Linked DNA regions of Drosophila melanogaster. The protein of the gene in region 2 interacts with the protein of the main gene of each other region in a pairwise test. Each region holds a gene or a part of one and is shown on either strand. Other genes may lie near its edges.

Region 1 (3,975 bases), about 13 Mb from region 2:
ATTAAAAGCTACCAACTGATATTTTTAAAGTCTTTACAACAAAAACGTTGACAAATTTACAAATTTTCAAGTGTTAAATATTCCTATTTTTTGATTACGATCTGAATGTTGGCCAAAACGCACTGTTCGCGCTGATCGCGTTCTAGCTAACACGCATAAACCGAAATCAGCCTGAGTGAGAGAGAGAGAGAGAGCGCTAGTTTCAACTTTGTGAGTTATTAGCCTAAGCTGAACTTGTGTCTTTTTTGGTTTGGTTTAAGGAAATGTGGTTTTCTACTGTGTAAAAGTGTGCTGCGTCCGTGCGGTAGGACGCGATTAGGTATCAATGGCCTGGTCATCGTTGTCATCCTCCGGCTCATGGCCACGTCCCTCGCGAATTCGCTTCAATTTGCGCTTAAGCATCATGACGCCTGCCAGGGAAAATGATTGTTAATCAGATATTCAACATCGGTTAGTGCAGGAAGCTTACATTTTATGGCCTGAAAGGTTTTGGCCGAGGCCGAACTGGTTTCGGAGGGCAGCGAATTGGACGTGGTTCTAATGTGTGCCAGCTTTACCTCCAAATAGGCCTTCTTCAGTGTCTTGTAGTGCCGGAACTCACTGGTGTCCTTGACCAGGATGCACTTAGCCGCCGATCCCTCGCCCGAACAATCCGACGGCGCTGTGTGATATATCTGATGGTAGAAGTATTGCAGCACCGGCGAGTTCCAAATGGAGAGGCCGTACCACAACCAAATGGGCACATTCAGGGAAAGCTTAAAGTTCTTGGCGAACAGCGTGGGTATGAAGTACTTAAAGGGCAGTAGGTTGACAAACACATACGCCCACACCATGATGCGCAGACCGAGGAAAACCTGGTAGATGATCCGGTGTGAATTGGTGCTGGGCAGGACCAACAGGGCTAGCACCTCGGTGAGTATGCTGTACAGACCCACCGTTAGATTCAGGCCCACAAAGTAGTTTTCGTACCTAAAAATAAAGAGTATTTAATATTTTCGAGCTTAAATGGCTCCAGGCTAGAATGGTAGGGACCAAACGTGTCTCGACTTGCCTGTAAACATCGATGGCGACGAGGGACAGCAGGTAGAGTCCCTTGGAGCCCACCTCCAGGAAGTCAGCGTCCTTGAAGTCCAACCACGCCCCATGCAGGTAGAACGTGATAATGAAGATCGAGTAGAACTGAAACTTTTCCGCCTGATGAGATCGATAGAAGATCAGGTTCTCCGAGGAGTAGAAGAGCGAGTAGCGTCCTTGGTTCTTCATCAGCTGCGGCAGGATCATGAACTCGTTGTAGAAGTGCAGGAACAGGCAGCTGGCCGCATAGAAGGCGATGTTCCAAATGACGCGGGCGAACAGCCTCCGCTGAAAGTGCTTCATGCTCGACGACTTCAGAAAGAACTGAAAAGGGAGAGGAGCAATTAGTCGAGCATTGGTCTTGGGTCACTACAGATAATGGTTTATATGGCTTATGGTCAGCGCCGATGGGTCGACTGTCACCGGACTTATGCTATCACCAAAGCCAGGAGCGAAGTGCCAACCGAATGGGGAAGGAAGTACATCTGAATCCCTTAAACAATGACTGTCGGGAGTAAAATCAATACTATCTTCGCCTTATATTGATTTTACAAGAGACAACATATTTAAATAATAATCATTTACAGCTTAGTTGCAAGCCAAAACAATACAAAAAGTGCCGCATTTCGTTGTGTTTTGAAGCTTTTCAAAGGGTTGGTAACAGTATTTTTAGCGCCCCACTCGGTTGGCACCCCGTCCACCCCCGGAATGCGCGAATCCGGCACCGTGTCCGCTCTGTTTATTTATAAACGGCAAATTGGCCGAGCAACCCCTCAAAAGAAAAGTGCAATTGGAGGCGCCGCGTCGAGGGTGCTGCGATTGAAAGGATTTGCCACGTGCTGGACCCACCTGGAAGAGCCGCTGGAAGGCGTAGTAGCCGCAAGACAACGCCACGAATATCCAAAAGACCCCGTTGATCAGGTAATAGAGGTCTATGTCCCGCACCATCGAATCGAAGCGGTCGTTGGTGATCAGGTATTTCAGCGGCAGAAAGAAGTTGCTGATCTCCGCCCAGTAGTCGGGCGGACCGGCCTTCATGTCCAGAATGGAGGTCATGCTGCTCCTCGGCGGGATTTCCCGTTCTGCCGCCCCAGAATCGCGAGTTGGTGTTCCTCGTTTTCAGCCGAAAATTGGGAGAATTTGTTTCGTTTCTATGTATCGATAGTAACCGATAGCTTCGCAAATATAACGTGAAATCAACGGCTATCGATTATAGAACCGCTGCAAAGTACTGCGCTTCTGTTACAGTGCTGTTAGCGTTAACAGCGCGCAAAGTGCGCCAAATTTGAATGACAGTACATTACTTCAGTTATAAGGGGCTTTACCAATTAACATTAAATGTGTATTACATTTTCAAAATGTATAAGAATATTTTTCGCTTCAAGGACCCACCAATATGACCTCCTCTTTGGCCAAAATCGAGGACTTTCCCTCCGATCCCGTTGAATTTTTTAAGGAGATCCTTCAGGAAGCTGCCAAGGGACATCCCGATGGATTCATACAGGAAATGAACCTGGCCACCGTGGACGAGGAATTCGGTGTGCTCAACCGCACTGTTCTGTACCGCGGACTCACCCAGGATAACTGTGTGTTCTACATCACCCATCGGTACGTTCGCAACTTCAAGAACCTTCAGGCCAATCCCAAGGCCTGCATCACCTTCTATATGCCAGATGTTAAGGATAAGGCCGGAAATCAGAATGCCTGGCAGGTGAGATTGATTGGAGCCACCGCCGTGGAACTTGACCAAAGCGAAATGGATGCTTTGTGGGCGAAGGAGAATTTGGCTGCCCAAATCAGGGGTCACATCTGTCCCTGTGGAGAACCGATTAACTACGATGATCTCAAGGCAAAGCACGATCAGTTCCTTCTGGATCACAGAGGAAAATCCATCGAGAGACCAGCAAGCTAGTGAGTTTCGAAGTTTATATGTATATCTATATTTAGTAAATTAACATATACATAATTACAACTTCTTCTAGTACCGCTTGGAAATTCCAACCGCAGCGTTGGGACTTCCTGAAGGTGGGTCTCGACCAAATCGCAGACCGGGTGCAGTACCGCCTTCAGAAGGATGGGAAATGGAAATCCATGCACGTGTCCACCTAATTGTGGTATACCCCCAGTAAAGCCATTATCTTGATTTTGGACGATTTCATTTTATTCAACAATATCTTTCTACAAACAGCTAAACGTACAGACTAACAACTAAATTTGCTTCCTTTTCGACATGTTTAACATACAATTACAACATAGTTAATAAATATTACACAAAACAGCAAAAAAAAGGACGTTTAAAGAATACAGTTAGCATAGAGTTACATAGGTTCGAGTAACATTAGAGCAGGTTAGTTACATAGTACATATGCTTAATTGCCTTACTTGCTTTGCTACACACACACATAATACCCAGTGAGTTTCGGTTCCGTTTTCTACACAAATGCGCTGAGGGGCGTGCCGCCGCCCCCTGGTGAACTATCCCGACTATATCGCGCTGATCGTCTCGCGGATCCAGGCGGCATTCGAGGCGATCTTGTCGTACATCCTGGGCCGCTCCACGCCCGTGGGTCCGCACGCGATCCGCCAGGAGGAGACCCCAATGAGCGCCCACTGATTCGTTCCGGGAATCAGGCACTGGACAGGCGCTCCCGAATACTCCTCTTGCTGAAAATGAACAATATGAAATTCAAAATATAATAATAAAATATAATTTTGGTCCACTCTAAAAAATGATATATAGTTTAAATTTTGGTTGCCAACAGTTTCTGTCCACTTTCAAATTAAATATTTTAAAAATAATTTTGTAATATTATAATAGGATCCACTCTGTTTTTTCAATATTTCACCATTGAATTAAACTCGTGCCACCCCAATTGGCGATCGTGACGTCACACGCACGCG
Region 2 (3,927 bases):
GGCGATTCCGAGGTGCAGCGTACTATGCTGGAGCTACTTAACCAGCTGGACGGCTTTGAGGCCACCAAGAACATCAAGGTGATCATGGCCACCAATCGCATTGACATCCTGGATCCCGCTCTGCTGCGTCCCGGCCGTATTGATCGCAAGATCGAGTTCCCGCCACCAAACGAGGAGGCGCGTCTGGACATCTTGAAGATCCACTCCCGTAAGATGAACCTCACGCGTGGCATTAATCTGCGCAAGATCGCCGAGCTAATGCCAGGCGCATCAGGTGCGGAAGTCAAGGGCGTCTGCACGGAGGCCGGCATGTATGCGCTGCGCGAACGACGCGTCCATGTCACCCAGGAGGACTTCGAGATGGCTGTGGCCAAGGTGATGCAGAAGGACTCGGAGAAGAACATGTCTATCAAGAAGCTGTGGAAGTAGGCGTTGATCGGCCATTGCAAAAGAACCCTTATATTATTTTCAATAAATACATCAGTTAGTAACATAAATGCATTATTGTGTCATTGGATTTACTCCTTAGTCAGTACGCACAACCCAATTATGATCTTCACAGATAACTTTCGTTCAATGATATCTGAAGAATTGAATAGATTATCAGATTACAGTAGCAGCTTTGTAAAAAGTACATTGCAGTGTTTTCAACTGGCTGCTTGATCAGAACAAAAAAAGAGAGGTTATCCATCTCTTTCTTTTTTATGTTTTTTCGATCTCAATGATTCCTAAAAATCCGAAAGGAAAGTACTTCCAAAATTACATTTATGTATGTATGTTTATTATAGTTCCAAAGAACTTACAGGGGACTTGTCGGAGATTTACAATGGTTCACAACACCTTGCTGTTTTTAAAGCAAATGAGCACCGAACAACTTAAGATTTTGACATTAGGACGCGGATCCAGCGAGTCGTTCCCGTTCCGTTTGAAGCACCTGGCAGATCTGCTCATCGTCAGCCACGTCGTAACAAGTCTGTCCATCTGAATCGCGTAGCTCCAGGCTGGCGTGTAGCTCCAACAGGCATTGGAGCGCCTCCAAGTGTCCACAACTGGCGGCGTAGTGCAGCGGAGTCTGTTGCTCCGCATCTCGCTGATTTACACTGGCCCCACTCCGCACCAGGAACTGTATGATTTCGACGGCATTGCGATCGGTAGCCCAGTGGATGAGCGCCATGCCATGCTCGTCCAGCTTAACCAAGTCACTTGGCTGCAGCAGTTCCCTCAGCCTGTCTAGATTGTTCTCCTTCACGTGGTCAAACAGGGTCTTTTCACTGTCCAAACGTTGGTCCTCCAGTGGGACCGACTCAATGGAATGAACGACCCAGCCTGGGTTGCGCCGGGACCGCCAGTTGGGTTGAAGCTCCTGCAGCTTCTGGACGTAGGCCTGCCGGGCAGCGGACTGGGACATTGTTCCCAGATTGCGCCAAGCCTGCCACTTGCTCTTGGCCTGCAGTTGAAGCAGACCCGGACTTTGCTCCTTGCAGGGGCCATTCGTGGCCTGCTTGTAGTATCCGTAAAATATTAAAAGGTCCGCGGAACCAATGCTGTTTGACTGCTTGGCCACATGCTCGGTGGCAAGGTGGAAAAGCTCGTCCACGGTGTCCGTATCGCTGTCCGACATGTCAAAAAAAAAAAAAATCTGCTGAGCTTATAAACTAAATGACAATTAAAGTGGGGAATCTAAGATTTCTGTATGTTTAGGTAGTTGCCCTCCAGTATGTGCTTCTGCTCGTTCTCGATCTTCTCCAGCGCGGTCAAACTGTTGAAGCTAACGAAACCGTAGCCCTTCGAGCACCCCGTTCGCTTGTCGAAGATCACGTTGGCGGACACCACGCGTCCGAACTCGCGGAAGTAGCCACGCAACTCCTGGTGGCCCACTGTCCACGGTAGATTGCCCACGAAAATGCGGTGCACTGATTTTCCGACTTTTGCTACAGCTGCGGCGGTGGCCATGGACTCGGTTTTGCTAAATGAGGTGTGAATTCGAATTAAATATGGTTTTCTGCTTCTTCCAGCCAAGGCGATCTGGATTCCCGGCGACTCCTTACCAGTTGCGTTGCGTAAATACTGCTGCGTTTCTGTTTCACGTCAACTTGCTGTTTTTGTCGACAGAGAGACATAACCTCAAAGAGGCAGCTAACAGCGCAGTGCTATTACCCTACATGTCGGAGTACATTTGTTCATATATGTAATCAATACTGCAGAGGAGCGTACAGATAATTAGTTAAATGTAATCAATTGGTTTGAAAGCCAATGTAATGACTTCTAAGCTACATTACTCCTAAAATAGTAGTTCATGCAAATAGAATAATTATTTTGTATGTCTATAAATTAAAACTATTGGTTTCAATAGATTAATCTCTCAGAATCGATTTAATTTAAATCTTTATCGTGCTAATCATTTTTCTTAATGTCATAATATTCATCCAAATAGAGTATCAAATCGCTGATGTCTAGTAAGCATAAGCTGCTTTCATTCATTATTTGTGCGCTTAACAGCACATATTCGCACTAACAGGTTCTTACTAGCAATCTGTTAAGCGACGAAGTTCTGTAGAACGGAAAGGGAGCGCCAAATTCAAACGGCAGATCAAAGAAAACACATTTTTTATTTTTGATTTTGCATGATTTTGTTTTATTTTTGTAATTCTTTTTCTGATTTTCCCTTCCCTTTCCCTTTCTTATTTATTTCATTACTCTTCAGTTTAACAAATTTGCTATCAACTACTTAAAATTAACAACATCGCATACACGTATCTTTCTCGATTTCCTTGCAATAAATAAACAAATATTGATTGTTATAAATGTACAATACGATCAAAAGAACAAGTGGATAAGGGTGGGGTTAGGGGTAAGGGCGTGTGCAAGCTTTTGTTGTTTAGTTTAGAGTGGTGTATTTATGCTTTTGGAAATAACATTAACTATGGAAGCCGTTTTCACGTGTTTCTTTTTGTCTCTCGCCTAATTCCTCTGCTGCTGCCCGGAATATCCTGAATATCCTGTGATGCTTCGGATGATGTGCCACGATTTCTCAATTCTCAGACTAACTCGGTTCTCGTATAATTAGTGATTTGGCTCTCTAAACTCCCTATATATATCTGTCCCAGTCTGCGGCTCATTAACCTGATCTGATCCGATCCTATCAGAATTAATTTGATTTTTAATTCTTTTCGCTACTTGGCTCGCCTTACAAAATATAAATTTTGCCTTACTTGCTTGCTCCTCGGTTGTTGTTTACTTTAATAGTAGTTTATAGTTGTGGGTTGTTGCTTAGTCGTAAATATATAACTTCCCCAAAAATCTTATCCATAGAAAAGTGTTATGTTTGGTTTGCAAGCAATGAAACTCTTGAAGATCTTTCATCCGTTTAGTTTTGTACAGGAAACAAGGGCAGAACGTACGTAAGTCTATACAGAATCGGTTACATATTTAATAATTATCCATAATAATGATGTCCAAGTTAAGTTTCGTAATTAACTAATTTGTATAACTATAAGTATTTTGCTTCGTCTTGTTAGTTCGTATCTGCACAAAAACAACTCCAGTGTCATAATAGTTAATTGTTATCATGGTATAGAAATTACAAGACTGTTGTTGTAAGTGGCCTTAGATTTAAATTACAATAATATGATATATAACTTGACAAATTTGTTCTTTATGTTGTGGCTTCGCCTTCTGCTCAGCTTTACATTCATATATATACTGTATACTGTATATATATACTTTATACTATATACTGTCTGTGTTCAAGAGTTTTTATTTGATATTATAATCAAAATATACACCCAAAAAAACAAGCGAAAAAAATGTCTAATAAAAATAGCTGGTCTCTACATATATGGACAAGTATGTATGCATAATTAGATTGTTAAAAAAAAACTGTTAGTCTATACACAAAAGGAGAAATAAACCATCGCTTCCAAATCT

Evidence for each region.
Region 1: the proteins of anox (region 2) and CG15343 interact in a two-hybrid assay, tested with the Drosophila melanogaster proteins (one large-scale study listed by BioGRID).

The regions. Positions count from the first base shown.
Region 1 is NC_004354.4:8,271,703-8,275,677, reverse strand, and holds CG15343 (uncharacterized protein), read left to right. Parts: upstream 1-1,871; 5' UTR 1,872-1,923; coding exon of another isoform or gene 1,924-2,130; exon of another isoform or gene 2,131-2,266; intron 2,267-2,459; 5' UTR 2,460-2,470; coding exon 2,471-2,985; intron 2,986-3,056; coding exon 3,057-3,183; 3' UTR 3,184-3,354; downstream 3,355-3,975. Other genes in the region: CG1636 (uncharacterized protein), read right to left, coding at 316-410, 470-969, 1,052-1,398, 1,924-2,130; CG1632 (uncharacterized protein), read right to left, coding at 3,559-3,738.
Region 2 is NC_004354.4:21,317,175-21,321,101, forward strand, and holds anox (anorexia), read right to left. Parts: upstream 2,123-3,927; 5' UTR 2,049-2,122; intron 2,040-2,048; exon of another isoform or gene 1,967-2,039; 5' UTR 1,954-1,966; coding exon of another isoform or gene 1,681-1,953; 5' UTR 1,622-1,680; coding exon 890-1,621; 3' UTR 762-889; downstream 1-761. Other genes in the region: Rpt6 (regulatory particle triple-A ATPase 6), read left to right, coding at 1-429; SLIRP1 (SRA stem-loop interacting RNA binding protein 1), read right to left, coding at 1,681-1,953.